Alligator mississippiensis: one gene and its partner. The protein of the gene in region 1 purifies or fractionates together with the protein of each later gene. This does not show direct contact. Links are inferred from orthologs where the notes say so. Each region holds a gene or a part of one and is shown on either strand. Other genes may lie near its edges. The genes, in order: NMNAT2 and FBXO45.

Region 1 (16,284 bases):
AATCACAGCATAGCTGTGATTCATTGTCATTATGAATATGAACTGGAAGGAATTATTCCGGTCACCAAATCACATCTGATGCTACAATCCCACTGATTTATTTATTTATTTTTCTGTCTGGAAGTAACATCTACTTTTAAATGGGGTAGGAGAAACCTAGGATAAATTTAAAAGCACCTAAGTGGCTGAAGCTCCTAAGAGACTTGGGTATCTGTGAAATTTTTATTACTAAAATCTTTTCCTCTCACAATAACAGGTTTAGCAAATAGGACCATAAAATAAAACCAACATGGAACAGACTAGAAAGCTTGTATGCATATGGATGTTACAGATGTAATTATTAGTAAATATTAAAGGTTCACTAGCAAGAAAAAAAATCACAGAGCCAGAGAGGACCACTCTATCCCAACGGGGAAATCTGTGGGACAGTGTATAGGAAGGAAAGAGGCAAACTGCTCCTGGTTCCTCTTGTGGCGTTCCCCATAACATGACCCTTCTGGATTTGCTGCATAAACAGATATTGAAGCCTATGAAGAAATCTGTGCTTCTCTCTAACTCGTCCAGTTTCTAGACTGCTCCTCTCCCTTGGATTTATGGTTTTTTTGGATGCCCAGGTGTTTTTATAACTAGCAGCTACCTCTAGTACTCATCACAAAGACATCTTACACAGCCAAGGGGCAGGGCAAGATGCTCAAAATAAACCTACAGTAACTTTTGTGGACATTCCCTGTACATCTGGAGGTGCACAGTTTGTACTTTACCCTTAATTCCCCCAGCCTTATGGATATGACCTGGGGAATTCAGGAAGGGGGAGTACTGTGAAGATGACGGATCCTTCTACCTTTCTGGCTGTAGTCTGAGGAGTGAGATGCAGGGGAGAGGAGGAATGGAAATGGCCCAGGGAAGACCTACTTTTGTAGATTGCCAGAGGCTCTTTGATACAAGCTAAAGCAAGGCTGCAACTAGACAAGCACAGGTCTCTTATATATGACTAAACTGGTTAAGAAAACAGCAACACTTTTTTTTAATCAAAAAGACCATTTAATTTAAATTAAATTGAGGCATAATAAAGAGCAGGCTATGAAGAATTTCTCTTTAAAACAAAGTCAAAATGGAGCACAACTGCGTTTGTTTTTTTTCAGTTCAAATAAATTTGTCATTTGAAATTTAAGCTGGATTACCAAAAAAAGGTTTTGACCTGAACCCAAACCATTTTCAGTTTGCAAAACTTTTCAAGATTTCTTCATTGTCTTCAAGGTCTGTTCATGCAGCAAATCCAGAAGGGACATGTTGTTGGGAATGCCACAAGAGGAATCAGGTGCAGTTTTCCTCTTTCTTTCCTATACAGTGTCCTACAGATTTCCCCATTGGGATAGAGTGGTCCTCTCTGGCTCTGTGGGTTTTTTTTCTTGCTAGTGAACCTTTAATATCTACTAATAATTAGATCTGTGACATCCATACGCATACAAATTTTCTAGTCTCTTCCATATTGGTTGTATTTTATGATCTTATTTGCTAAACCTCTGTTATTGTGAGAGGAAAAGATTTTAGTGATAAAAATTTCAAAGACATCTAAGTCTCTTAGGAGCTTCAGCCACTTAGGCATTTTTAAAATGTTTACCCTAGATTTCCCCTACCCATTTAAAAGTAGATTTGACTTCCAGGTAGTAAAAAAGTGTGGGGGGGGGGAGGAGGGGGAGGGTTTCATCCTGATTTGGGATGGGACAGATTTCAATAACCTCAAATTTTCATCCCACAGGACTATTTATTTCCCATTTAACTCTAGAGGTAATGCTGTCTTTTAGGCATGCTCAATAAAAATATTTTTCTTGCAATTCTGCCTCCTTGCTGCCACACTTTATTGTAATGAAAGATTGGGAGAACACCATGCAATTTTAGTTATACATAAACAGTTTTTCCAGTGTTACAGCCTAGATCACTATAAAATTTGAACATACTTTTTTCATCACCATTACAGAGTGGTGTAAATTCTCTCCGAGAATTAAGCCAGGCTGGCAGCTGGACTTTGGTTCCTCATCAGTTTTGCTTCCTGGTGCCCATGCATTAGCAGGATGCTGCTGTGTTGGGGTTAACTGTGCTAGAGGGGAATGATTTAATTAAAAAGCAAACACATACTTGTCAGCTGGATATTTGCCAGTGTTGGCATTGTTTTGTCAGTGGGGCTCCACAGATTATTTTTTGCTTTGACATTGGTTATACATTTTGTCCTTTATGGCATTGCTTTCCTTTTTTACAAAAAAAGGAAGTCAACTGTGATGCATCTGTGATGTAGAGAGATACCCTTCAGCCACCAAATCCCCTTAATGCCTTATTAGAGAGCTGCTCTTTGTACCACAGGGGGTAAGCCTGATGATGAGGTCTTCTCAAAACAATGGCTCCATCCTTCATGCCTACAGAATTGTATAACTCTCTGAGAGGTTTACCATTTTTTCCAGCGTTGCATGCCACTGATGGAAACTAAGCATATACCACACTACATTTCTCTGAGTATTAACTTGAAATAAAAATGATTTGGGGTTGAATGGCACTACTGTCTTGACTAAGGTAAGCATTTATGGTCCTTAATGGCTAATGTTTGAGATCCTTTCAGTTGTTTTTTGACTGAGGATTTTGTTCTGAATCTTTCACTTAATTCCATAATGTTATGAGTTTGCATAGTTCTTCTTTGTCTTTATTAACACACATCTGGAATACTAATCAAACAAAGCTGTTTTCCCTTAGAGTAAAAAAAAACAAACCATTTTGTTCACATTAGAATTTATATAGTAAAACACTCCAACCTTCCACTCCCTCCTCTTTTTTAAACAAAGCCTAAGTTTTTTCAGAGCTATTATGATGTTTATCAGAACTATTAATGTCATTAGGTATCTAGCAGTATTGAGTATTGTATGTACATATGTAAATAAAACCACACTTAACTGTTCTTAAGGCTCCATTCCTTCATTTGACAAAGTACAGCCTTATTCAAGTCACTGGGGTGTCATGTGGTTGATAGGGTTTGCCAAGGTGTTATAAATTGCAGGATCAGGGCCTATGGTTATAACACAATCACAACTGCCTGAAAGGAGGTGCCTATCAGTGACTCTTTACCTCCAATTGATGTAATTGGTGAGAAAGGACCTAGTAGAAATAGTGCACCAATCAGATAAAGACCCTGGATCCAATCTTCCAGTTTCTATGTAGTTACACCATCTACAGAGACTAGCTGGAATTTAACTTGAGGAAAAGTCAACAGAATCCAACTTCATGAGCAAAAATTTAACTACAAGCCTTTATTTTCGCATCTTGTCTTTTGCTTAATTTGTAGTGCATTTTTAAAAAGAAATACTTCCTCTGATACTGAAGAAAAAAATGTTTCCTGTAAGGTTTATAAAGCTTATTTATTTATCTGAGAGTTGAAGACAGTGTTTTGCATCTCTTGACTGCATCTTTAGTTAGATGTCTGAAAAACATTTCCACAAAGCAGTACTATGCTGGTCTTTGTTTAAGATGAAGCCAAAGGAGCCCTATAAACTAAAGACCAAATCCTGTTTGCTTGACTCATATGACTAATCCTACTGGTTTACATGACTAAGGAGAGCAAGAACTCAAACCCCTTAAGCCTTAATCACAAAAGTGATCCTTACTGGCTATCTCATTTTTCAGTCCTTTCTGAAGCCAGGCTTCCTTCTGGAATAAGTGTGGGCTGACAGTGCAAGTACAAGCTGTAGAACAGGGTCCTAATTTATGATATATGCCATGAGTTCAAGGACAGAAGGAACCTTTTATACATGTGTAGCCAGACTTCCTGCATAACACAAGCCAAAGAAAGTCAGCCTCTTATTTCTATTGCAGGCCCATAACTTCTTTTTTGAAATATTGCATATCTTAGAGCAGAATATCCAAGTCTCGACACACAGACTTCAAGTGATGAAGAATTCACCACAACATTAAGTTATTCTAAAGGTTAACTAGCCTCTCATTTCTGGTCTGAATTTGCCTGGCTTCAGCTTCAAGCTTTGGATGTCATAGCTTTTTGTACCCAGCTAAGGAGCCCTCGCCCACCACAGTTGTACCCTGTATGGATAGATACTTGCAAACCATGATCAGGTCACCTGTTACCTTCTTTTAACTTACTAAAAACACCTGCCTATGTAGTTTATCTCACTATAAAGGATGTTTTTCAGCATCCCTCTCTTTCCTGCAGCTGTTTTATCAGTCCTCTCCAATTCGTTCTTCTTTCAAATGTGGACACTAGTAATTGGCACAATATTCCAACAAGAGTCTTGCTAATGCAGTATACAAAAGTCATGCCTGCTATTGTTGCTTGATATTTCCTTGCTTGTGCAGCCAAGTATCATATATGTGCTTTTAGTTGCATCACACTGGGATCTCATGTTCAGATGATTATTATCACCTCTTTTCAGAATCACTGCTTTACAATATATATGTCCCCCATCTTTTATAAACAGTCTGCATTCTTGGTTTCTAGATGTATGACTCTGCATTAGGCTTTTCAAGTGAGCCAACCTTGACTAGCAATTCAGCTCAGCCCGCATAACTGACCTATTCCCTTCATCAGTTACTACTCCACCATTTTTTGTTCTCTGCAAATTCTACCAGCATTGATTTCTATAGTTTCTTCCAGGTCATTGGTAAAGATATTGAATAGAATTTAGGCCAAAACCAGATTTCTATGGGAATGCACTAGGGACACCCTCACTAGAAGATAATTCCGTATTTAACTGATATCTCGAAAAGAAATCAAAATCAAATTTTAATCCACTGAATATGGGCTGCACTGATTGTTTGGTTCTCTTTTATCAGCATGTCATGCAGGACTTGAGAAAACATATTAGAGAAGTCTGTTCAGTCAACACTGTTACCTTCACAGATTTGTTTAAAAAAAACATTTGATGTTTAAATATTTTTTGCTGCTCAGTTTTGTTCATAACTATTTTACCTTTTGGGACTAGGCCTTATTAAAGCACTGTGTGAGCACATCTGTTATTGCTCAGGACCAGATTCTGTTGGCGCACAGTGAATGAATTTAGACTGTGATTGTTTGCACCTAACTGTCAATTTTTAGTTTAGTCATCACTTCATCGTTATCGGTCAGGATACAGTCCAATACATAATTAAACATGCATTAGTACCGATATTTTTTTGTACTGAGAAATGTATTCATAGCTTTCAGAAACTCCAAGGATATTTTACCAATACCACAACAAGACTGGCATGAGTGCCCCAGATTGAAAACCCCCATCATATGGCATGGTTTTTTTTTCTGCATATAATGGATAGATGTCTAATATGCTGCTCCTCCTGTATTTGTAAGTGAGTTTTCAGTTGATATAGGGTCCCCTAAGCCTGCCAGCTTCTGTTCATGTGAACTATCAATAACCAAGCAGGTAATGATTTTGATGTCGGGTGCCACACCCCTTCCCTCTGCTTAGTCTCTCTCTAACCAGAGATTTCAACATTCCAGCCATGCATTGTTACTGAAACCTATAGGGGTGCATCCATCATCTCACATTTATTTTCAGCAATGAGTGTTTCTATTTCCTTTTGGATGTCAGACAGGCATCTTGAGTTTTAGTGGGTTCTGTGCCTGGTGCTTTATTCTCTGTTTAAAAGAGCCCTTGGATTTACATCCTAGAGCCTGTTTCTTCACTTGCCAGACAGATAGGAAATGGAAGTGCTGCAGAGACACTGGGAGAGACCTTCATAGGGAATAAGTGGCATGATGTGCACTCCTAACCAGATAACACACCTTGAATCTGTGTGTGTGTGTGTATCATGATTTGTTTGTGTGTGAGGCCTTGACTCTGTGTGTGCATATGTATCAGGACGTGTGTGGCCTTGATACATATATACACACACACACACAAAGAATCATGATGTGCGTGTGCCTGTGACTTTGTGTGTGTGAGACAGAGAGAGAGAGGCCTTGCTCTGTGTGTGTGTGTGTGTGTGTGTGTGTGTGTGTGTGTGTGTGTGTGTACACCTAGGTCCAGGGGCCGGGAATACGCCAGGAGAAATGAAAACAGGAGGCTTCCCAGCCACAGCACGAATCTGCTCCCTCCCCGCCCCCCCACCCAGTCTGGGCGAACAGAGCGGCTCCCGCCTGCAGCCCGCCCCGAGAACCCCCCGGCCGCGGGCCTCCGCGCTCCGTCTCTCCAGGGCTCGCTCCAGGACGGCGCCCCAGGGGCCCCGCCAGGCCAGACCGCCCCGCCCGGGGCAGCGTGGGAGCTGCGGGGCGCTGAGGCGGGGGTTCAGCACCCGGCGGCGGCGGACAGCGACACGGCCCCGCTCGCGGCTGCCGTCCGGGCGCGCTGCAGCGGGTCCCCTCGCCCGGCCCGGCCCGGCCCGGCCCCAGGCGGCGCCGCCACGGGCAGCAGCAGCAGCCTCCGCCCTAGCGCGCTGGAGCGGCGCCAGCGCCGGGCGGCCGCAGAGCCGGCGCCGGCCGCACTCACCGAACATCTGGATGTGGCCCTTCGTGATGGGGTTGAAGCTGCCGCAGGCCAGCAGGATGACGTGGGTCTTGGTGGTCTCGGTCATGGCTCCCGTGCGGCCGCCGCTCGCCTCCCTCGCTGCGTCTCGGGCGTCTGCAGGGGCTGGTGGCGGGCGAGGCGCAGCCCGTGCTGGGGGCTCCGGGAGCGGAGGCAAGCGCAGGCGGCGTCACTCCTCCGCCCTTAACGCTTTCAGCGCCGGAGACGGGGCTGCCGGGGAGGCGCACACACTCATACGCACACAGTACATACATACATGTACACATACACACACGTACATACATACATGCATATACCGCCCCCCAGAGAGGAGCTGAGATGTAGGAGATGTGGATACACACACACACACACACACACACACACACACACAGTCACAGCCCAGACAGGAGCTGTTGTAGACATGGATTACAAGTACATAAGTGAGGGGATGCCAGACACACAGGCACACAACCAGACACACAAGTAATGACCCAGAGAGGAGCTGGTAGAGACATGGATACAGGTACACAAGGGACTGCCAGACACATTCACACACACAATCACACACACAGTCACAGCCCAGAGAGGAGGTGTAATAGACATACATATACACAAGTGAGGGGCTGTTGGGGACACACACACACACACACACACACACACACTCAGCCCAGAGAGGAACTGTTGTAGACATGGTTACATGTGCACAGACAAGGGGCTGCTGAACATACACAAACAATCACAGCCCAAAGAAGAGCTGTTGTAGACACATGGATATACCTAAACAAGGAAAGGGCTGCTTGACACACACATGCACAGACACACAATTACACAGGCCACAGGTCAGAGAGGAACTGTTATATACATGCATACACATACACAAGTGAGGGGCTGTTGGACACACACACAATTGAAGCTGAGAGAGGAGCTGTTGTAGACATGGATACACATACACAAGCAAGGGCCTGCTGGACACACACACACACACACACACACACACACACACCCCAGAGGTGACACCAGGCTCCTTCTAGATCTAGCCAGATTTTGCCCTCAAGTCTCCAGCTAGGAATGTCTGAATCCAGATCACTTCCCCACTCCTCCCTCAGCCATTTCTACTGTCTGTAATAATCCAGACTCTTATCCATGCTGGGAGAATAGGCCCCACTCTACTGGGATCCAGTGTATTATTCCTGCAAGATCTAGGCAGGGTTTTTTTTGTTCTTGGGCAATACTGAATAGAGCAAATGTAGTCAGTCCCATTGCATTTGGAGTAAAGCTGGAGGAATGCTAGCAGGAGTGCCATAAGCACCTGTAACTAGGACCTGGATGAGATCTGGCAGCTAAATCTTGACAATGTTGGATCCCTAGCTCCAACTGAAAACAAGGATGAGCACAGCCACTCCACTGGAAGAATTTGGACCCTGATGCCTCCTGGTCTGTAGTACTGGAAAAACGTGCACCTTTTATGTGTCTCATGGCAATTTTTATCCCAAACTGCCTCTCTCTCCCTAGAAAAGGCTGTTGGAAGTAGGATTTTCTGCTCTGTCTCGCTATGTGGGAGGGCTTACTGAAAACTGGATCCCCTTTCCCAACACAACGTTTAGGAATAGTGCATGGAAACTGGAAACCTACAGACCAGGCAAGTACTACTAGGACTGGTTCGCACAACACACTTGGAAGGTATTACTGGTAACCAGGATATGCACCCACTAGATTGGATTCACATCAGGGTACAGCTGCAGAAGACTGTTGTCAAACACTGAATAGTGCTCCCATCACCCCAAATGCCTCTTGAATACTTTCTAGCACCAAGGGTTCTGTCTGCTGTATCCAGTTGCTTTCCCAGGAGAGAGAGAATACTCCTACTTGCAGCGCTCCCTTTCTCCCCCTTCCTGTAACAGAAGTGCCATCTCTTTGTCTTTTTCTCTAAGATTTGGCAGTTCCAAACATTTATTGTTATACTGCAGGCTCTCTGTCCTTGCCAGCTCTACAGTGCTATACCCACCTTTTCTCTTTCCTTTCCTCTCTTCTTGTGTCTTTCATTTCTGCTAACAACAGAGGTCAAATGGCCCCAGTTTATGCATTTATCTTTATGACTCTCGTGCTTAATCGATATGACTCAATGCTGGCTAATCCAGACGGTTTCTTGCCCCACCTCCCCCTTGTTGCCAGAGCCTATATCTTGAAAAGTTTTGTATTATGAAAAGGCCACAGATCAGCTCAGAGTTATGATAACAATCTAATTGGAAACCATTAATAAGATGGTTCCTGCAGCCCATCTGTGTAGAAAAATAGTATTATTATTGTTATTTATACTGCGGGAATGCTTGTTATTTATACTGCAGGGATGCTTAAAGGCTCTAGCTAAAATCTGTGCTATATTGCAGTCAGCACTGTGTTTACACATGGCCAGAGACAGGCCTCTCACAGTAACACTGGTGGAACACAGTAAAACACACCCATAAAGTTTCTTTAGACCAGCTGTACACAAACCGTCATGGATCTCTCTGACTAGTTCACCCTTGTGGAAAAGTTAGAAAATATTGAAACATTTTTCTTTCCTTGTCCCTCTCCTCCTGCTTTTTTTGGTCTTGTTCAGCTACATAGAATTTCAGAAAAATTGTGGTGTGTCACAGAAGCTCTGTATAATCTGCTATGGGGACTGGGTATTAATGGCACTTCTTTTCTCTCTTGGCAACATTGTTCAAAACCTCTTAGTATTTGATAACTCACAAGTCCCTTCTGAATAGACCTTGCAGGCTTGGAAAATCTGACAGGGACCATGAAGTCTACCCATATATCTAATCCGTCAGAATTAAACAAACAATAAAAAAACACTCTACAAATAGAGCACTGAAAACAGGAAGCAGTTTATATGCACTACCCAGGGCTCTTTTAAAAGAAGACACTGAAATCTACATTGGAAAAGCTCCAGAAAATACTCCCAGGCAGAAAAAATTGTGTGTTAAGGTTGTAAACATCTATCAGTCATTTCAGAGAAAAAAAATCCTTGAGGGAACATTGTTTTTGAAGACATAAAAACATTTGAAATCCTGAAAGTTAAAATTTATTTTGCTATACTTTAAAGCCGAACACCCCAAACCACCTAAACATCAGACAGTAAGGCAGTGATAAGCAGCCAGCATCAGTCACAAGAGATAGCCTTGATGCAGAAATCACCAGATAAAATTCATGGCCTGTATTATGCAGGAGGCCAGATTGGGATTGTAATAATGATCCCTTCTGGCCCTAAAATCTACACAGTTGTCAGAACAGGGCTTAAGGGGGGCTTAAGCAGAGCATAAGTCTTGTGTTGTCTCACTACATGTGGAGGGAGGAGGGAAGGAAAAGGAGTAAATTTCACCATATTTATTACAAAGAGTAAAGAAATGATATAGAAGCCTGCCCTTTTTTAAAGTAAATTAGAATACAATAGGTGCATCTACAGATGCACTTTACTGTGGAGTTGACTAATTAGCTCCACAGTGACGTGTTACCATCTACACGTGTGCCCATATTAGAGCACAGTAAATTAATTAAATCCACCGTAGGATAGTGCTACCTGGAACAAGTACTATCCTATAATGGAGTAATTTATGCCACTGCAACACATGTGTAGATGGCTGCCTGCCAGCTAGCCACACACTGTAGCACCTTTGTGCCCCAGCCAGCCCCCCCACCACCCCACACCACCACCCAGAGCCTGGGTCTGACCCCCCGGACCTTCTGCCTGCCCAGGGCTTCTTCTCCCCAGCTCAGTGTGCTGTGGTTCTGGGCACATGTGAAGACACTTCACCCAGGAGCAGATAACTGTAGCGCACACTGTGCTGGAGTTTATTCAGGTGCACTAATTGCACATGTACATGCGCCCAATGTGCCTCAGTCATGCATAAAACATCCAAGCCACATCTGATTTTTTTAAAAGACCAGTAACAGATCAGATTGGCCTTAGTTTTTAAAAAGTTTTCCAAACACACAAGTCTACCCAAGTAGTGGCTCTAGGGTTTTTATTTTTCCAGTCCCACTGTAAACAGTAGTTCAAAGTAAATACATATTCATCATTTCAATATTGTGCAAAGATATGAGAACTTCAAAATGAAGTCAGTGGATTATTTTATTTTCATCATCCAAGATAATAGAAAGACAAAAAAAAATAAGGAAACAACTGTTAACAGGAAAAGGTACATTATACTTTGGGGCTTTTCTCAAAGTTAATAATAAATCAAGGACACATCAATAACATAAATAGGAAATTTTCATTAGAAAATATGAGGTGAAATTTTTTGGGGCCATGCTTCAGAAAGGGATTGCATGAATGCTGGAGGCCATGGAGCTAGGGAACTAGTGGGGCTTTAGGCCACCTTTATGTCTCCTGTGGATTTTGGGCTAATCCAGAGTCCAAAATAGGCCCTGATGTAATTTAGGCAACTCAGGAAGCTGCTCTAAACATAGGGAACACTTCCTTGAAGCAGCTCAGAGTCCCCCACAGTGTTGTGCACTAAGATCCTGCCATCTACCTCTTTTTAATTTGACAGTCTCACTTTAATATTTTCCCTTAATTTCTTCTTCTTGGATTGAAGTTGACAATTTACTTTTCCTGTTAATACGAATAATGTTCTGATGTTAGTAGTATCCATAGAAATTCCCTTGGCCAATCCTTAAGGTTGTTTTTGCTAGGCCTGTAAACTTGTATGATCCATTTTCTTTTGTATATTAAAAACAAAGTATAGCTTCAGGGAGCCCAGGACCTTTGCTACAAATGAGCAAACTAGATTTACCAATTAGTGACATTAACAGTCCCAGACTTTACTGACGCCCCTTGTGATAGCTATGTTTGGACCCCAGTGCTGGTTCTGTACACTCCTGATCTCCCTGTATCTGATCAGATTCCTTACGCTGTCTCTGACTGACAGTAGCCTTAGGCATGCTTCCAAGGCACAAACCTTTTGACTAATGCCACTTCTAGGGATCAGGGCTGTACCGCCCAATCCCCAGGACAGCCTAGTTGCTCCAACGCAACCTCCTCAGAGCTGAACCATCACAAGTACTTCCACTTATAGGAATACTTGACAGTGAGTTGAAGGAAGTAACAGACAGACTTTGCAAGGGAATTTCTAAACCCGTCACACATTACTCATAGACAAGCACAAGAGAAAGGACAAACACCTTCATGCAATTTCTCCCCTGCCCCACAGGCTTCTCCAATTTTGAATATTCTTTGGGTTTTGGTCAGTGTCTTTGTGGGTCCTGGATACCCACTCCTAGTCCCAGACCCGACTTTATCCTTTCTTTCTGGTTATTAACTATCATCTTATTGTAGCAAACAGCTTCCCTTTGCTTATTCTAGCCTGGTGCTCAAATGTTCCCCCACTCAGTAAGCATGCCCTTTTTTAACAGCAGCTCTTGGAGTCTCCTGTCTTTTTAATAGCAGTCATAGAGTCCTTCTTTTATGCTGACAGTTTTCTATTCCTCTACCCCCCAGTACCTTCAGACTGTCTGATAAGAACTGGTTTCGCCTTACCTACAGCAGTGGGAACCAACCTTTTTGTCAGGCATTCCACAAATCATCCCTGTACCCTCCCTGAGTGTCACTCCAACCCCCTTCCCAATCTGCTGTGCTGCTTTGTGTTTCCTGCCCTGTGCTCCCTACCTGATCTGCTTTTCCTGCCCTATCTGTCACTGTACTTCCTGTCCTCTCCCCAGTCTGCCACATGCCACACCTGGAGGCTGCTGCCTTGTGCCACCCCTGACCTCAGCAATGTCATTGTTCTAGGTTGTTTCCATTTGAATGGTAGGCCATTCAGCTTGTCAGGTCATAATTGTTCCAGTCACACCTTCCCAGTATGTGGCACAAACATTGTTGGCAAAGCATAGATTCAATATACAGTGAGGTATTAAAGGATAAAACAATTTCATAAAAAATAGAACATATGTTTTACACAAGCAAATTTCCCAAAATGTCATGCTTGGACATAACTCCAGACAGAAGGAGGTGCTGAGCCAGTAACCTCGCCAAGGCCTTGGTCTGTGAACTTTGCCACCAGACAAACCAGTTAGAGATACCTAAGCAGGGATTAGAATAAGAAGAATGGTGTGGGAATATATTGATTTAGGGGACTGTGCTTGGAAGCAGAGACTCTTTTGCAATACACCCATTTCTTTGTCCCTGTTACCTTTTCCATGCCATATTCTATCACAAGAGATAAAGAAATATCACTTGTGACAGTTGAAAATGGTAGGTATATTCTGTGAACATTTAAAAAAAAGAAATGAAACATTGCCATGAGGATGTTATACCATGGTGGTTGGAAAGGGTCATAATGGTGAGATGGCCTCTTTGCTATGAAGTAACCCACCCTATAAATAAGTTCAGAGAATCCCTGGTCTCCACCACGGGATAGTGAAGAGTTGCATTAGGAATTCTTATAGAGCTCTGAAATGTTATTGGTGCTATTTTTTACTTAATCCCGCCTTTGAAATGGAGCACATTAATTGCTACTTTAATTCACCTCAGGGTGATATTGAAATGAGAATATAGTGTTAAACCCTCTTTAAATGATCTAAAATAGCTTTACTACTCACATAGGGGTCCTGATGTCATCTCGCAAACCACCATGGCCACTTGCTGATAGTTGTTAGAAATGTTCTCTATTACTGGTAAAGAAGACTTTCCAGCTCTCCAATGGGATCCACACAAATGTTTTAACCTTTAAAGGCGCATCCACACATGCAAGCATGTGTGCTTGTAGCAGCTCAAATAGAAGCGGTGCAAATTTGAGCCGGGGCTTTTTGCTTCACTGCATGTGCTTGGACATCCACTTTGCTGTGGAGCAAATTGTGCCACTTGGTGCAAAATAACCCTGCCTGGCTCCTCCCAGATCTTCCGCCAGGGGGAGCTAGAGCCCGGGGCCAGCACCTGTGCTGTCCTCAGCAGTATAAAAAGGTGCCCTGTCCTGGCCCCAGCAGTATAAAAAGCTGCCCTGGCAGTAGCTCAAGGCTACTAGCTCTCAGGAGCTTCTGCGACCCAGCCAGTTGGTACCTAGGGACACTACCCCTTGTGCCAGCTGGACTGCTGAAGCAGCCCTGAGAGTTCCCTGCACCTTTACCCACTGCAGCAGTCTGGCAGTGGGGGTTGCTGCCTGGCTGTGACCTGCTGTGCACCTGTCAGACTCGGATGGGGACTGTACAGCCAGCAGAGGCATCTGCCCCTCTGGGCCAGCTGCCAGTGGACTGCGGTTGCAGGGTTGGCCTTTGTGCGGCACTACTGCCATTTGTGCCCCCTGCCCGGCCATCTGAGCAGCTATCACCCGGAAGATGTTCCGGGTGTGGTGGCCTGCTTTGAACTGTCAAACCATGTCCTCCTGGCCAGATGGGTCCCAGGTGCCAGCTCTGAGCAAGAAGGGTCCTGCCACTGGCCTCCCTAGCAGGAATTCTGGTGTTCCCTATTGGAAAACTGAAAAAACCCTGATAAGAAAAATCCCAAAGTCACTCTGTAAAATACCTCCAAATCCATGTTCCTTCACAAGTAAAACAAAAGACCACTATAAAGACAGAGAGCAAGACAGAGACAGTGATCAGTTGGACAATGTTTTATTGATATATCTTACAGTGTTAAAGCAAGTCTCTTATCATAACAATAAAGCAAAATCTAAATGCATGTTTCATGAGAATACATGTTTTGCTGCACTCCCACAGGGCGATGGCCCACACACAAGGGGTTTGGCCTCCCCAACAGGGGATTCAGCCCCCCCAACAGGGGGTTTGGCCCTCTCACAAGGGGTATGGCCCCCCAACAGGGGGTTCAACCCCCACACAAGGGGTACAGGCCCCCAACAGGGGATTCAGCCCCCCAACAGGGGATTCAGCCCCCACACAAGGGGTATGTCCCCCAACAGGGGGTTTGGCCCCCAAAAGGGGATTCAACCCCCAAACAAGGGGTACAGGCCCCCAACAGGGGATTTAGCCCCCCACACAAGGAGTATCCCCCTCAACAGGGGGTTCAACCCCCAAACAAGGGGTACAGGCTCCCAACAGGGGATTCAGACCCCAACAGGGGATTCAACCTCAAAACAAGGGGTATGGGCCGCCAATAGGGGGATTCAGCCCCACACAAGGGGTATGCCCCCCAACAGGGGGTTCAACCCCCAAACAAGGTGTACAGGCCCCCAACAGGGGATTCAGCCCCACAACAGGGGGTTCATCCCCCACACAAGTGGTACAGCCCCCCAACGGGCACCAAATGGCCCCCACAGGGGCTACCACTCCCCTTGCAAGGCTCACAGGCTCCACCCCAGCCCCCAATTGCTGCCCCACCTGGCCCCATCCCCCACCAGTTGCTGCAGCCCCCCCAATGGCTACCCCACCCAGCCTCACCCCCCGCAACTTGCACCCCCAGGCCCCCATGGCTACCCCCACAACCCCAGGCACCATTATTTTAAAAAAACCCAGAAAAAAACAGGATAAAGTGGGAAAATAAAAGCCTTTGCTTACCTTAGAAGCAGGGGTGAGGGGGGGCCCAGGGCCTCCTGGCAAAGCCCCCCCAGGCAGCACAGGGCAGCGGGGGGGGCAGCAGGGCCTGGGCTGAAGCTGCTAGGGCTGTCACCCTGCTCCACACTCGGGGCCCCAGTCAGCCAGATGCAACCAGACTGCATGTAAGTGCAGGGGTTTTTTTTGTTTTTTTTTAAACTATGGGGTGGGGGGGGCAGGGATGGGGGGGCTTGGGGGAATGGGGCTGGCCAGGGCAGGGGTCGGGGGCCTCAGGGGGCTTGTGTGGGGAGGGGCTGGCTGCAGCAGGGGTCAGGGGCCTCAGGGAGGGCTGGTGGGGGGAGGGGCCATCCCCAGCAGGTGTCAGGGGCCTTGGGGGGGCTGGCAGGGGAAGGGGACGGCCGTGGCAGGGGGCAGGGGCCTCACGGGGGCTAGCGGGGGGAGGGGCCAGCCCCGACAGGGGTTAGGGCCCTCGGGGGGGGGGGGGGGCTGGCAGGAGGAGGAGCCAGCCCTGGCAGGAGTCGGGGGCTTCGGTGGGGGCTGGCAGGGGGAGAGGTCAGCCCCGGCAGGGGTCAGGGGCCATGGGGGGCTGGCGGGGGGAGGGGGGCTGGGGGAGTGGGCAGGGCCATTAGGGTCCCCTCCCCCCTCCTCCAGCCCCCCCGACCCCTTATTTACCGGCACCAGAGCCCTGGTGCTGAAACTTGTGGCCTGACCAGCTGCCTGTTTCAGCACCAGAGCGAGGGGCCAACCATAGACACTTTGGCAGCCAGAGCATCTCCATGGAGTACCCAGCCTCCGGTTGCCTCAGGGCATGGTTAGGGACCGTTCCCTGCTCCGCTTTTTTAAACATCAATTGTTTTAGATCCCTGGATATTCAGGGGTCTAATTTTCTCCCCATGCTGCAAACTTGCAGTCATAATATGCCAGACCTTAAAAATGTCATGGGTTTGAGATAAAATCTAGTACCTCCTGGGTCTCAGAGCAGTAAGGGAAAATTGTACTTGTTCAGCAAAAAGAAGGAATAGTTTCTGTGAAAGCACTTAAAAAAAAATCTAGCCCTGGCCACTAAAGCAAAGTAGTTCCAGAACAGACAGGGTGTAAGTGAAAAAGTCAAAGGTGCAAATCAAGGCTCTGATCCTGCAAACTGTACCATGTGGGCCAATGAGCCACCTGCATGAGTGGGAATGTATATGAGTATGACAGAGGATGGACTTTAGGTCATTAACTCTCCAAAAGGTCAGAGCCACAGACTTCAGATTCTTAACAGTATGGGGCACCAGCTCCTCAAAAGTCTAAGAATTTATGGAGC
Region 2 (16,512 bases), on another chromosome or scaffold:
AAAAATAAAAAAAAAATATATATATACACATACACACACACACACACACTTTTGTGTGTAGGTCTTCCACCTGTCAGAAGTTCTTCTGATGTCATGTAGTGGTTTTTCCTTTAATGATATCCCAGTTAGAACAAAGCAAACCCTTTGTTTTGTTTTTAGCAGGTTTTTTTTTTTTTTTTTTTTTACATGTTCTGTATATACAACCTTTAAAATACACTTAAAAATAGCTGCACACATTTTATATCTCATTATATACTAAAGAAGTAGTCCAGACAGACCATGCTTCTCAGCACGTTAAAAATTTCAACTAAAACCCAACCAGTTTAATTCTCCTCTGGTACCCACGCTGGCCCAAAGGAGGGAAGGAAGGAACAAACGAGCAGTTTTAAAATGGGAGTCTTTCACAAAACACGCTACTTACAAATCTCAGGTTAATTTCCTCAACCACTTCTATCAAATTCTTCCTTAAGTATTTGAGATCACACACTACCATCTCAGCAATGAAACCTGTTGCAACATGAATGTGTCAACTGCCCACTCAACCAACTGTAACCCTGAGGATTTTTCTGGCCTGGTAGAAAGAGGAAATGTAACAATCCCTGCAGTATGGCTGGTCCTCCGCAGCAATCCACTATTTTCCTAGATGTTCCTTGGATATGCATCCATGCGTTAATTCAAATTTGAGTTTCCCTCTAACCAACATGCAAATTCCTCCTCCAGATCATCCACATCCAGATGTCCCAAAGAGCCAATCAATGTCATCCATCTAGAGGCTTTCCTAAGTAGACCAAAGTCACCTCTGTATTGCCATACACAGCTGACACTGCTGGATACAAGCAAACCTTTGGCAATCCTCTGAATGCAACTCCCAGGAACTCATAGCCGCGCTCAAAGGCTAATGTCTTGTCTTCCATGTCTAAGATGACTCGAATCCTCTCACCTATCTGCAGAGAAAGAGAGAGAGAGAGAGAGAAAGAAAGGAGATAAGAAAAAAAATCAGATAACAGTCAAAGAGAAACAAAGGATAAATAAACTAAAAATAGCACATGGAGAGCAGAACAATAGATCTTATAAGAAAAAACCTCATTTAGAATTCTGTGCGTCTTTTTGGTACAAATGCTCAAAAAAGATCAATTGAATGGTGTTAAAAAAGAGCCTCCGAGATGGTTAAGGGAATGGAGACCTTCTCTTATGGAAGAAGATTAAAGGAGCTTCGTTTGCTTAGCCTAACAAAAGGGATACTGAGAGGAAACGTGATCAGCCTTTACAAGTGCATTCCCAAGGAAGTGAATATTAGGAAAGGAGAAGAGCATTTTCAGCTGTAAAGCATCACCAGCACAAGACCACAACAGCGATGGAGAATTTAAGACAGTTGGAAATCTTCTAATTTCCTCTCAGAGAAGTGGTATTTTTGGAATGGTCTTCCAAGCAAAGCAATGAGGTGAAACACTTTTAGAGTGAACTGGATAAGTGTATAGAAGGGATGGGATGGTAAAACGGAGTTTTGGCTTAACAATTGGCGTAAGATGCATGGAATCATTTAGTTTCACTTTCCACAATGGACTATAGATGTAACTCTCCTTCAGTGTAATCAGTGTCTGGTAATCACATATTTCAGAGCTTTCACTGACTGCCAGTAAGGAGAAGCAAGCAATCTCCCCCCTCCCCCCCCAAATCCTATTGACTTGTGGAAGGAGGTAGAGTGAGTTTCACCTTCCTCTGAAATACTGGAACATTGGCCACAGCCAAGACTGTGGGTTTTTGACAGGAAAGCAGTGATGCTCCTGTCAATGCTTAAAAAAACAACCCAAAAAACAAAACAAAACAAAAAAAAAAATCAAAAAAAAATCAGAAGTTCCTGGTTAGAAGTTCTTGCTCTTCTGCTCAGTCATACTGACTGCCAAATATGAAGTCATTTTTTCCTTATGTCAGATTGACACAAGTTGTAGGGGTCCTTGCTTTCCTCCATAGCATGGGAAATGGTCTTTTTATTGGGAACTTTTGAACATTCACTAAATTATTCCCTGCAGTTGTAGCCTCATTACAGCATCAAGGCATTGACAATGCCAACACCTCTCCCCTGCTTTTTTCTATGCCTCTATGGCAGGAGAGGGCAAAATCCAGCCCATGGGCCAGATCCAGCCTACAATGGACTCTATTTCCCAGCAGCCCCTGTGGCACCAGCTCCTTCTGGCTGCTGCTGCCAGACCCAGCCCTGATGCCTGGGCACCCTGGCCTGTCTGCCCCACACCCACCACCAGGACTGGGACCCAAGCAGGCAGGGCGCACACCTGGGAAGCTGGGATGAAGCCATGGCTGGGAGTGAGACAAGTGAGTGGGGCTGGGGAGATCACAGGATCTTGGGGCACTGACAGTACAGGGATGGGGCTAGGGCACAGCTATGATCCACTGCCTGCACATTCCTGCACCAAGTATGGGTTCACAGACAGGGGCATGCAAGGAGTGGATCACGGCTCTGCCCTGGCCCCTTGCTGCCACCGCTGGCCCTGGAGCAGCTCCCTACCCAACTGCGTACCTGGGGCTGAGGCAAAGCCCCAGTTCTGCAAGCAGGGGTGTGCAGGAAGCACACTGCAGCTCTGCCCAGGGCCACTCACTGTCACGGCCCTGCAATCCTGGGTCTCCATGGAGACCAAACGGGAGCCATGCAGGCAGGGGCTGCCAAGAAATGGCAGTCCAGCCACGGCCAGATCCTCCATTTTGCCCACCCCTGCTCTACAGTATGTGATAGAGTGCTCTTGGTGTCCTGGGTACTCTGCCTTGTACATGTCTGTGAGGGTTTGAGGTAGAAATTCTGGGACTTCTTTCAGTAAATGAGTCTCTGTAGGCACAGAGGACTAGACTCAATGGCCAGCAAGCCCCTTCCAGGTCTATGTTTCTATTCTTCCAGAGAAAAATGAATGCATATCTTGAAATCCATCAATTTCACTGATGCGCAAGAGATTCTGATTAGCTACACTCAATAGCTGTTTCAAGCAGACAGAGTACATACAACCCCCACAATGCTATAAATACCAAATGTTACCTTTACATGGATATGTCAGTAACCCTAAGAATTAACATCCATCTATTCATTCTGTAGTATATGGCAACTTTGTAATTGCCTCCAACCTGCATTTCTCTTGACAGCATATGCCTGTTAAGAACTTGTGGTTAAAAGTCTTTGTAGATTTTAAAGCCAAAAGAACAACTTGAGAAAGTAGGGGGCATATGCAAGATGCATTGAACAATTTTTTGGATATGCCTGTCCTTCAAGTACCACAACTGATCTTTTATTTACCAACACATCAGGATTGCAAATATTTTGGACAAAAACAAATGGGAAAAACTGAAAGAAAAAAGGTTATACAAAAGCAAAGGATACTCGATGCACCTGGAAAAAAACCCACAGATCATCATATAAACATGATGCTGCATGCCAACTTATTTACCCACAGTGCAATTTTGAAATGTAATTAGGTAACAGCCCCCAACAGCAAGCAGTAACAATACTGTCTAGGATGTTGTGGAAAAGTCAAACTATCCTCCGTGTAATCTCCTTTAAGCTCTTCTTCTATGTAAAACAACACTAAAGAATATACACCTTTTTCACTTTTTTTAGAAATAGAAAAATGTTATGTGCCTTATTTTACAGAAATATATTTCTAAGAACAGCAACTTGAAATTCAATCAAAATAAAAATAAACCAGTTGTTACATACTCTACAGCCTTGAGTCCAAGAAAACTTCTGCAGTTTTATAAAATATTGCTTTCCCTATAAAGGCCCAAACACAAAGAATCTGAACACAAGTGATAAATGGGGAAAGAGACTATACACAGCTGTGTCAAATGCATGAACTGAAATGAAAAATCTTCAATCTTTTCTATTCACAGGCGTTTTAGGTTTCTACTGTTAAAAACAGGAGGCACAAATCTCAGAGGGAAATGTAATTTAGACTTCAGTGCCCCTATTCAAGATCATCTTCACTACACTAATCAAAAAAGCCAATTTCTACTTAAAGTGGGGTTTGGGGACATTATACAGAAAATTATTAAAAATCTTCACCCACCACTGATATGCTACCACCTCTAGACTAAAAACAATAAATAAAATCACATAAAAACATTACCTGACAGAATGAGACAAGGAGTATACTGCACATAATTGATACTGCAGCATGAGGCAATCTAGTAGGTAGAATATAGTTATCCTAAAAATAAAGCTGGGTCAGATCAAAGCTAAATATGGAAAAAGTATCACATATGCTAATTACCACAAGTTATCTAAACTTCAATTTTGTTTTATCTGAAAGATATCACCTCTAAAGAGTACTAATTACTGAGTAAACACCATTTAGCATTACACTGGATTCTCCTGGTGTGTGTTGGGGTGGGGGGGGCGGCCACGCGGGGGTCTACCCAAGTACCAACCAGAAACACTTCACACCAGGAAGCATTTCCAGAAGATGTAATACTTATTTGATATAGCAATGGGTAAACTAGAATATTCTAGTCACCTCTCATTAAAAAAAATAAAATAAAATAAAACAGAAACAAGATAACTGCCTTTAAATAAGATGCATACACATAGGATGATTTAAGATTTCGGATAAAAATTGTGGTCTTTTATTTTCCTTGAAGGAGATCATTTAGGTTTCAGAATTGTCTGAAATTCTTATACATAGGAAAGAAATCTAAAAACAGGGCAAAGCAGAAAATGGGTAACAAGGCAAAATTATTACCCTCATGAGGTAAGTAGGTAACTGGTGTAAGCTGCCTAGTAAGACCACTTCAGGAGACAGCTAGACATTTTCATAAAAAAGGAAAAGCGACGCACCGAAAACTAGAGGTGCACTAATACATTGGTCCCATATCAGATTGGCACTGATATAAGGAAAAAAAAGTGACAGTAAAGGCAACTGGCTTTTTTTGGCTGATGTGCTCAAAAACATGGCCAATAAATGCCCTGTGCAGGCGCAGCACACAGGTGGCAAGGAGTGCAGCTGGGTTTGGCTGGTAAGTCTGTTGTGAGTGAAGGGGGAGAGAGCATTGAGGGGGACGGGGAAGATAGAGGCCCCAGCAGTGAGGAATGGAGAGGATTGGGTCGGGGCAGGTGCCGCCCAGCTAGGGTGAGGTGTGGGATGGAGCCATGAGCGGCTCGTCATGGGGGCACAAGGTGGCTCCCGCTGCTGCACACACCCCAGAAGGGCACAGGGGGTGAGTGTGGGCTGTGTCAGGCTCTTCCCAGTGAGGGGGAGATTGAGCCGGGCTGCCCAACCTAGCCCGCTGCTGGGAAAAGCCCAGTGTCACCCCAGCCCCAGGCTCCCCTCACCCCATGTGCAGATCCAAGGGCATACCTCCCCCATGCCCTCCTGGAGTACGTACAGTGGCGGAAGCCACCTTCCCCCCACCCCGTCCCCACACATCCCAGACAAGCCGCTCCCGGCTCCATCCTGCACCCCACCCCGGCAGTGCAGTGCCTGCCCTTGCCCCAGCCCCTTTTTTTCTTCCTCACCACAGGGGCCCAACTGCCCCCCCCCCCCAATGCCCCTTCCCCCACAACAGACTTACCAGCTGGACGCTGCTCTCCATGCTGCCTGGCTGAATGTTGGAATCAGTCAATATGGCTCGCTAAAAATCAGTCATCAGTATTGGCTCAAAAATCTCTATCCGTGCACCCCTACTGAAAACAGTGCTCAGGCTTATTCTTGATGGACAGCTGCCCACAAATGCAGCAGTTTCTGACTGGTTCCAAGTCTCACTCACCTGGTACTTTGGTGCATTATTGCACTGTGGGAAGCTGCCATTTACCTCTCCATTATGTAGCAAGTTATTGTCCACCAGGTTCCAACCCCAGCTCTGGTCGTCACTGCCCAGCAGCGCCACGTAACCCTGACATTGCATGGGAGCCCGTTTTGTGGCAATTCCAATTACAGCTACCGTGCCAAGAGGGCCTTCCCACCAAACCTCCCATGCATGACGACCCTCACTGAAGCCAATCTTGGTCCTTGCCCCATCGGTGCTCTGAGCAATGGGGTTCCGGTGCAAAGTAAACCCATTCTTCTTGATGTAGACGTTCCTGGAGCAGTCATTGGTGCTGAAAGCATGATGAAAGGCACGTACCTAAGACAAGAGAGAGAGAGAGAGAGAGAAGAGAATTTTTGGACTGGAGAGAACAAACCATGAATGCAATTGTTTCATTAACATCCTGCAGCACATTTGTACTCAGTTTCAAGCAATAGTTTTTTAAAAAGCATGGTTGCATGTGATGACACAAGAAAGTAGAGAAGATGGGTTTGCTACCCAAAGCCTCTAGATACAAAACAAGCCAGAGAACCAGAGTGCACCTGGACTTCTGAGATCAGGAGCAGCTGAGCTGAGGGACAGAGAAGGCAGGCTAGAGATGCAAATTACAGATCAAGGCTAGGAACAGACGTTGCATTTGTCCCTGGACAAGTCGTACCTGTGTTTCTCCCAAAACAGAAATATCTAAGCACTGTATGTACATGCATCACCCTTTTAATAAAGGTTTAGGGAACAGCCAAATGTACCACTGTTCTTCTGCCATTGATTCCACAATGCAACTCCCAGGACAATTGTTCAGACACACTTGGCAATATCCTGGGATAAACTATTACTACTTCTCATCCCGTGAACCTTTTTAAGGATTTGTCATGGACAGACATCTGAACACTGGACTTTGTCCCAGGATAAAACAGGTTATCCTGGGATACATGCGACATCTGTCTGCAGCCTAACCAAATCAGAGAGGTGTACACTCCTGTGAGCCAATGCTCACATCATCTGCAAGCACCAGATGGGCGATGAGGACGAAGGGACACATTACATGGCAACCCCATTGAGGGCTGGGAAAACACCAGAGTCTACATGTCACAACTTGCCAGCTATTGCTAGGTCCCCTCCAAAAGTCTTGAAGTGACACCACTTAAGGCAAAGGCTAACTCTGGGCCATGCTCCCCAGCTCCAGTTAAGGTCGGCTCTACAGATACAAAGCAAGCAGGCTACTGGCCTCCAGCATCCCAGGATGCACTGCTCCCAGCACCCCCCCACTCACAGCAGGGATAGAGCCCAGGGGCCAGGCACCTGGGCATGCTCCTGCTCACCTGTCCCATAGCAGCCAGTCAGAGCTGTGCCAGCATGGAGCTGGGTGCGGGGGCTCACCTGGCCCTCATCTGCTACCAATAAGTGCCCTCCAAGCATCTCGAAGCAGCGCCACTTGAGGCAAAGGCCTCGCAGTTCCTGTTAGGGCCCCTTCAGTCTGCCCCAGAGACAGGAGCAGGCTGCCACCCCCAGCATCCCAGGGTGCACTGCTCCCAGCACCCCCACAAACCCAGAGCAGGGCTGGTGCCGGTGAAAGCCAGGGTGCCTGGGCTCACCTTGCCCCTGCCGGCTATTGCAGGTGCCCCACCAGCGTCTCCAAGTGACTCCACTTGCGGCGAGGGCCACCCCTGGGCGCGCTGCCCGGCCGGCCCCGCTGGGGGCCGCTGCAGCCTGCTCCAGGGAGCCGGGCGGGGGCTGCCCCGCTGCCACCCCGAGGCGGGAGCGCCGGGCGCCGCTCACCTTGCCCTTGTAGGTGGGCACGTTGCAGAGCACGTCGGTGCGCAGCGCCTCCTCGGCCAGGCAGCGCGCGGCCAGGCTGCGCCACACCTCGCTGTTCTCGTCGCCGTGCAGGACGCGGTGCCACAGCTTGCAGACCAGCGCGCAGCTGCGCAGCTCCCGCAGCTCCAGGTAGGAGAACACTAGCTCCAGCACCCGCCCCGGCAGCCGCCAGCCCGCGCCGCCCGCCGCCGCCATGGCCGGCGCCGGCCCCTCCCCCACCTCCGGGCGGCGCCAGCAGCCCCCGCCCGCTCCGCCCGGCGGCAAAGTGCGGGCGGAAGCGAGCCCCACGCCAGCCACGGAGAAGCTGCCTCTCACTGCCAGCACGACTCCGAGAGCGGCGGGCCAGCCATGCCGTGACGCCTCCCCCTGCCCCCGGCCCCAGGCCCCGCTGTCATTGCTTGGGCGGGAGGAGAGAGGCGAGGATGCGGGCCGCCATTTTACTTGAGGGCACAGCTGTCAGAGGAAGCCGGGCGCGCATGCGCAGCAGGGAACGCGCGGGTGGTAATGCAAGGGAGAAAAAAAGCCCTCCCTTCCCGGGTTACGTCATCAAACTGCGCCGGAAGAGACGCGAGGATGCCGAGTTGTTGGTGTGGTTGGAGGTAATTCCTCCCCTTTGTTGTCCGGCGCGGGGGACCCAAGATCTCTGCGAAGGAGGGGAAAAGCTAAGGCCCCGCTTTGGTCTGCGCGGTTGTGCCCGTGCCGTGGCCGCGCGGGCGGGGGGTCCTTACGGACAGAGGCGAAGGGAATACAGCTTCGAGTTCGTGTTTCCCGCGCGGCTCCTGCCCCCCTGCGGCCTTGGCCGGTCGGAGGTGCGGGAGGCGCTGGGGCGGGGCCGCCCAACGGGCTTCGACGCTCGTTCCCACCCGTTGTGCAGCCCCCGCGCGACGCCGCCGGCCCCGAGCTGGGAAGAATCGAAGCACCGCTCCTGGGGCTATGGGCAGCGACCCCCGCCCTGCCCACGGGCAGGTGGCGCCTCCTGTCCTGCCCAAGCACTCCCGGGCCGACGGGAGTGGGGAGGAGCTAGCTGCCAACCCACCCCATGGGCGCTGCAGCCTCAGTCATGCAGCCGCCTGCTTCTTGGCAGAACGTCTCGCCCTTGAAGCAAAGGAGAGAGCGGAGGAAGGGAAAGGAGAGGAATCCCAGCCCGCTCTCCCCTGTGGAAAGACCGGTGATGTCTGTGGGATGGGTCTTGAGTCCAGTCCTGAAGCCGCTGATGAGCCGCAATAGCGGTTGTTCTCACATCTGGGAATTGCGGACAACATTGTTAGTTGCTAAGCCACCTGATTTAGCTTTCCCTGGTAGGGGGCTTCTCTGCAGAACCAGGTGAAGCTGATGGTGTGGATCAGGGGTAGGCAACCTCTGGCACATGTGCCACATGGCATATGAAGCCATTTTATTTGGCACGCATGCCCCAGGGCAAGGATTGCACTGCCACAATAAGGATCAGGCCCCTTGCAGCTCTCCCACCATTCACACAAGCACGCCAACATCTTACAAGTCAAGGTTGCAGGTATTTTTGCCACTCAGGCCAAAAATGTTGCCAGCCCCTCATGTAGATTGAGGATGATTTAAAAAAAAAAAAAAAAAGAAAAGAAAGGAAAAGAAACTTGATTACAATCAGTCTGCCTCCTGAATCACTCTTCTTGTTCCAAATAGCAAAGACTCTCACACTGCAGTGAGTCAAATACTGGTGATCTAGTGACTGTATAGTCAAAGGAATTCGTTAAGGCTTCAGGTTGTAGCTGTCACCTCCTCTGGCCTGGACTGACTGTTCAGGTCAGAGAGGAGCAACTGCTAGGACACCTCCACTGTTTTTTTCCACCAAGGCAGGGGAGAGCAACTGATGCCAGAGCCATCCTGCCACTGAATGTTTCTGAAGCCCCACGTCTGCAGATCTCATTAAATGGCTCTGTGGGCAGGAGCTGGCCCATGGGCTGTAGGTTGCCAACCCCTAATCTAGATAGCTGCACAAGGTGGTGTAGTTCAACAATTTGTATACAAGCACTTCTAACAATGTACCATTCCACTGTTCTAAGGAGTCAGTATTGTAAGCATACAGACTGGTGTGCTTGCACTCAAACTTGCACAAGTGCCCATTTTACCTTGGACTAGCAGCTCACATGCTCATGTTATTTCATCAGCAACCCAGTAGTCTTACATACTTTGATAAGCTTTCTACTGTAATAGGAAAAACTGCCTAACTCTGTCCTTCTTTCACAGAATCCCTTGAAGCATCATGGCAGTCAAGTGGACCGATGGACATTCCTCTTCTATACTGTGCTTGAATGTGAACAAAGAAGGGCTGATAGCTTCGGGAGCAGAGGCAGGCGAGCTTGCTATCTGGAATGAGGAAGGGATTCCATTGGGACAGATACAGCTTCAGAAAGCAGATGATATCACCTGTGTAACATTCTCTCCCACCTGCCCAAGTAGGCTATACACATCTCATGGGGAAACCATTAGCTTGCTGGATGTCAGGTGCCTTAAGGGGCCTATTGAATGCTTCCACGTAAATGAGGAAGAGATCAATTGCCTTTCTGTGAATGACACAGACAGTGTCCTGGCTGCAGCTGATGACTCTGGGGCAATCAAGATTATAGACTTGGAAAACAAGAAAGTCAGCCGGTCCCTCAGGAGACATTCAAATATCTGCTCCTCTGTTGCGTTTCGACCTCAGAGGCCTCAAAGTCTTGTGTCATGTGGACTAGACATGAAGGTGATTTGTATGGAAGTAGATGGATGATTGCTAGATTTTTAAATACTGGCTGAATGGTATGCAATTAGATATTCATTCTACCTCACTCCTTTCTCTTACTCTAGGGTGGTAAGAGTAATTTCTGGTTCTTTAGCAATCTTAATGTGGTTGTATCATGATGGAAGTTCCACTGATGTAAAGGATTGCCCTTTATGGTCAGGGCTTTCAGGATCAAACCCTTATTTTAGAGGTCTATTTTAAGGCTATCTGTGAACAAATAGTGCCCCTGAAATTAGCAATAGCTATCATGGAAAAGGGGACAACTATTTTGTTTGCATTTTGCTGAGTTTGGTAAGAAAATTAAATGACAGTTTAGAACAGCCATAGGGAAATGTATAGTTTGGGTGTCAATGCATTTTAGCTTATGGAAATGAACAGCATGCAACAACTAAGCCCCTCATGGACCACAGTTTGAGATTCCTAGTCCAGTGATTCTCAACTTGGGGTGTTACAGCAGCCTAAGGTGCCTTGAAATACTTTCAAGGGTGCTACAGGGTGCCACACAGGTGTTCAACCATGATTCACAAGATAGGACCCTGTAGTGTCAAAAACATTCTCATCTGTGGTTTCTCTGAGTTCTTCCTAATGGAAGAATTGCCCCAGTATTTTTCTGTAGTCAAAAAAACAAATAAAAATTAAGAGCTGGCATTTTACAAGGGGTGCCCCTAGTCTAGTTAGGGGTGCCACAAGCCAGGGTGGGGGTGCCTTGAATCTAAAAAGGTTGAGAACCATTTTTCTAGTCTAATGTAGAAGTTCTGTCTATTGGAGTTCATAGATATTGATGTGCTGTTTATTAATGACAAAATAATGGGTTTGATAAAGACAGTTCATCAGTGGTGCAGTGATGAGCCTGAGAGATTGAGTTTAATGCTTTCAGTTCTGCTAGACTGAGAATAGTAAATACCATATGCAGACATTAGAGCAGTAGCCAAAGCCAACTATTGCATTAGTTCTGTTGGATGGCTCATAGGGAATACTTATTGGTTGTGGAGGGAGTCAGAGCTCTCATGTGGAAGCATATTTGTTGTTATGGGGCTTTTTCTGGTGGTGCTGTGTTTAAAGAGAAAAAAAAGCAACACACTTAAAAAAAAAAAATGATCTCACACCACACTTGCCTGCGGGTATCATCCCTTACCATATTACCATAATATACAGTGTTTTGGTAGTGACTGTATGGAAACTTAAGAACACCTCATGCTTTCAGTAAACAGTGTGTGAAATATGAGTTGTTCGCTGTGTGATTGATCATGGAAACCATGTAGCTAAAGTCCTTGTGTGTGGTTTTGCAAGTTGTGCTTCAAGGGTCTAATGCCAGTTAAAAATAACTTGTTTTCTCTCTCTTACTCAGCTTGCCTAGTGAAGCTACATGCACCTATTGTCAGTTCCATTTAATTCTCATGCACTAGCGCAAAGCTACAAAGGATGTAAATGAAATGGGGATATTTGTTTTTTTCTTCAACACACTGAAATTAATATGAAAAAACTTGTATTACTGGATTTTGTAAAGTAGTGAGAGACTGAAATGCTCTTTTCCATTATTCCATTATTTCACATATTCAGTGTGCTGTACAAAAAATCAGCACCCCTGTGAAATAGGCATTATCCCCATGTCAGAGAGAAAAGCAAATGAAATAGGGTACCAAAAGCCAAGAAAGTAAGCACAAACTGAATTAAAATTTTAAAATGACTCTCAATCCTATTGTTGGTCACCATTAAAACTTTCTTTCAGTTGCACAGTTTATAAGCAAGATGTTCAGTGTGTCATGGCTGCTGCTCCCCAGATGATTACTAAAGCATGAGTGATTTCTTCATCACTTTCACACCCTAAAAAGCAAAATGTTTAGCTATCCTAAAGCAAGACTGTTTCATTAGATGCAGAAAATTCTGTTTACTAAGGATGTTTTAATTAGCAGCTGACCTTCACCAGCTGTTTTGGAAGAGATGCAGGATCTGTGCAATCTGAATGCAGTCTGACATGCAAGAGGAATTTAGTGTGTAATCTTACAGAAAAGATCTCCATACTTTCAGTTCTCTTCAGATGATTTAGTATTATCAATCAAATTGGGAGACAAGGTTGGGGCTACAGAAGTCATTCTTCTCATTTTATTTGAAGGTTATGCTGTGGAACCTGCAGAAAGCTCGCCCACTGTGGACCACAACCTTGCAGGATTGTGAAGCAGAGGAGGTGGAGCAGCAATCAGCTGGCCAGTTCTTTAACCCTCCACTAGCCCATTCTCTGTCTGTGGCTGCATGTGGCAATATCTTTGTTTGTGGTGCTGAAGATGGTAAAATAAGGATCTTCAGGGTAACAGGTGTCAAGTGTGAACAGGAGCTAGGGTTTAAAAGCCACAGTTTGGGAGTATCACAAGTTATTTTCCTGCCAGAAACCTATTGGCTGTTGAGTGGTGGAAATGATGGGAAGGTGTTGCTGTGGGATATCAACAGTGAAGTTGGGAAGCAACAGAAGAGTCCTGTGAAATCCATCCACAGGAGGAAGACCAGGGCACCTGCTTCGACCAGAAGAGCTGGGAAGCCCAATGCAGTGGTTACAAATGAGCATGCCAAAATCCTACCAAAACTGAGCATTGAACATGGAGAGAAGGTGAATTGGATTTCATGTGCAGACTTCAAAGGCTCCAAGAGAGTACTAGTTGCTGATCAGAGTAGTTCCATAACAGTGTATCCTCTCACTGAGCCATAGACATTAAAAGATTTTAAGGAATTTTTCACAAGCAGCTAATTCCTTGGGGTGATTTAAATTGGTGTAGCTGATTTTTCTAGACTGCCTTCTATTCCATTTACCCTTTAGAGAGGTCCCTGTTTATAGCTTAAACAACTAAAACTCCTGCATATTTAGAAGTGGCAGGGGATTAGCTGTGGCATCACTTGCCTGTATGCATAACATATGTGCATGGATTCTCTTGCAGTTATGGCCCATCTTCAATGTAAATCTTAAATAGACGTGTGGCTGCTTAAATGGTTTTTGGAATTGCACCCTCAGAACATGAAGGCGATACATAGCAGGTTCAGTCATGTTTCAGTCTGGAAATGCTGAAATAATGGGAAAGAAAGTCTTCAGTCTGACAAAAGTATTGGACTCCTCTATGTAAACTAAAACAATCCCAGAACAAATCAATTGGTGAGATAAGCTTTAATGAAGATGCAATTGGCTGAAGTCCACCCAGATCCCTACAGAATAGCCAATCTACTAGCTTTCTTTGCTTCATCTCTAGTTTTTTGCCAACATTTTTGAAACAGAAAAAGTAAAGGAAGTCTGACCTAAACTGAACATAATTTCATAAGTGGAAAGTATCTTCACTGAAGCAGCTGAAAGCATGGGCTGGAAACATTTATGAATTATGTTAAACTAAACGCAGTAAATAATAATTCAATGGGATTTTCATGATGGAGCAGACATAAGGAAGGGGAAGAATGTTGATTATTTACCTGGCCCAAGCTAAAAAAAAAAGTGTAAAGTCCCAGAAGAGATGTTAGCTATTAAATCTGTAAATAAAAGCCTTTTCTCTTCATTGCCCCTTGTGCTTCTGCTTTCAAAAGTGTCAAGAAGAGCATTGTATAACTTCAACTGCAAAATAAAAGTGTACAAAGGGCCAAATCTGACTATTTGCCTTACACAAATTGTCTTGTTGACTTCACAGGATACTGATATGAGATGAGCAAGCAAAATTTGGCCTTAAGGTGGATTTAGATATGCTTCTCAGATTTAAATGGGAAGAAATGGAATCCTGCAATTTTAATTAGATAATGCATATTCTGCTTCTCTGAAAGGGAAGTAGCCCAAGGAGACAAGAATTTATGTTCTCGGCATATCCTACTTTTTTGATGTTCCAGGAGGGCAGTATTGCACAGGTTAGAGACCTGTTCACCCAGTTACATTTAGTTATTTTCAGGTGCTTTGTACATATAGAAGTCTACAATGGGTAAATCTGCTGAAAAATTCCTCTATACAGAGGACAATCTTTTGTTTTAAACTCTTTAATAATGTAAATCTTAGCAGCTGTTTTTACATGGCAAGGGAGATGGAGTAACTATTTTAATAAGTAAAGAGCAAATCTGTGAACTGAAAGTTAGTTTCCAAGGAATCCAGTAGACATCTTTAGACACCAGTTAATGATAAAAACAACCTTTACATTTATACATACTCAAACCCTTTCGATGCTCTCCTGAAAATGTGGAACTCCTACAATTCTAATGCCACAATAAAGCAATGTTTACTGTCAATTATGACTTTGAGGTATTAAAGTACCATCGCTATTACTGTATGAATACACATGCTATTCTTATTTTTGTCCTTTTGTTTCTGCTCATGAGGATCACAATCTTAAGTCACTTCTGGAATTAGCGTTTTAGTCTCTTTAACAACTATGAAATGTATTGCTTGGTACTTAAAAAGTTGTTACAGTATATATAAGTTCCTCACACAAATTAAGGAGTTGGGGAGGGAAAGGCAAGGAGAAAGGTGAGCAGGAAAAGGGTAATGGGAGAAACAAGAAATGAATGAATGAAATGAATTATGAAAGGGAGACAGGAGAAATAAAAGAGCAAGAAGTGATGCACAGCTTTAAGACTAACAATTTATATTCATTCCATGAACCCTACCCCTCCCTATCCACCCCCCATTCCCTCCAGTTGTTAGGAGGAGCAGACATAAGACACAGCTTGTAGTTGAAGCTAGTGTGTCAGGGATGAAAATAAGAAAGAAAATTCTAAATTTTGAGTTTCATTGTTGCCTTTCGGGTGAGGCAATGCTAGTCTGGATGTTCCAGCAATATCTGTACAGCATCCAGACTATCATGGACAAACGTATTAACTACTTGAACTGACAACTGAGTTCTAGTTTCAAGAGCCTTTGGTCCTTGTGGTGTCCTATCTAGTTATCAGTTTTCTAGATGAGATAGCATCTGCATTTTTTAAATACAGGCACACAACAAGCAAACTGTATGAAACCTTTCAGCCTTCCCCAATACCAGACACCATCAGCTGTGTGAACATTTTCAAATGGGTACCTTTGTGCCTTCTCCCTTTCTATCCACTACACTTGGGAGGAAACCTTCATGAACATCCATTAAAACTCTCCTCATCCAGATCCATCCTTTACATGATGCCTATAAAAACATAATAGCTAAGCTGCTTGTGTACTGAGACATTAGCTATTATGCTGACCAGAACAAGTTAATACATCAAAAAGTAGCAGAATAGGGCCCAGATGCCTTTTCAGATCATCTATAAAGAAAAATAGTCTCATTATATTGAAAGAGCTGAACTAAAATTGTAATTCAATAAGCCAAATGTCCATGGACATGTGCCTGCATGTGTGTCTATGAACTATATTTAGATGTACAGTCTATAAAAAGTTTCAGTGCAAAACGATCAGCAGGAGTTGGATCCCTGATCCACGCTATCTTTGACAGCCCCAGAAGAGGATCAAGCACGATTCCAACCTGTTCAAATTTTATTTCTTCTATCCTTGTTCCCCATGAAGATGACTAAAGAGACCATCTCTCTGCACTCCCTGAACAAGACATTAAACAGGTCACAATGTGTTGTGTTGTTAGTATTATATTGAGGAATAAGGCAAGACTCCACTTTACTAGGATGGGAGTATAGGGTGGCGGGATGAAGGAAGACACTAACACTAAAGTAATCATGGGTCTGTGAATTACATGAGTTTGTGTTTGTTTCTTCCTAGAAAATAAATGTAGACATAGATTGATGGGATTGTCGGACTAAATAAAACCATGGGGAATCTTGGGCTGCTTTAACTCTGAAAAGCAACCAGCTGTGCAGGTTCATGAACAAAACGTCTGCGCAGCTTGAAGACATTTAACCCTGTGACCCTGGTGTATTTGCCACAAACCTGAATGCAGCTATTTGATCACCAATGAGTGATGTCTTCTTAGAAAAAAATACTGATTAACTGTAACATGCTATCAGGAGGTTCTAATGGTTCCATTCCCAACCATACAATGTTCTGATAGTGCTTACTTCTGGGCAGGTGTTTTTAGGTTGGGGCAGGCAGTTCAGAATCAGGTAAGTTCAAAAGAAGGGAAAGGAATAATGCAACCACACAAAAAAAGCTTTTAGAAAAAAAAACCTTATTTTTAAATAGTATACCTCCA

Evidence for each region.
Region 2: the proteins of NMNAT2 (region 1) and FBXO45 purify together in Homo sapiens (co-immunoprecipitation; 3 studies listed by BioGRID and IntAct, with this or other methods). This does not show direct contact. The link is inferred for Alligator mississippiensis from reciprocal best matches to the Homo sapiens genes NMNAT2 and FBXO45.

The regions. Positions count from the first base shown.
Region 1 is NC_081828.1:54,144,369-54,160,652, forward strand, and holds the start of NMNAT2 (nicotinamide/nicotinic acid mononucleotide adenylyltransferase 2), read right to left. Parts: upstream 6,633-16,284; 5' UTR 6,562-6,632; coding exon 6,477-6,561; intron 1-6,476.
Region 2 is NC_081830.1:36,870,779-36,887,290, forward strand, and holds the start of FBXO45 (F-box/SPRY domain-containing protein 1), read right to left. Parts: upstream 7,866-16,512; 5' UTR 7,813-7,865; coding exon 7,579-7,812; intron 6,121-7,578; coding exon 5,764-6,120; intron 4,209-5,763; coding exon 4,128-4,208; intron 945-4,127; coding exon 759-944; 3' UTR 1-758. Other genes in the region: WDR53 (WD repeat-containing protein 53), read left to right, coding at 9,854-10,333, 12,486-13,073. UniProt on the Homo sapiens protein: Component of E3 ubiquitin ligase complex consisting of FBXO45, MYCBP2 and SKP1. Functions in substrate recognition but also plays an important role in assembly of the complex.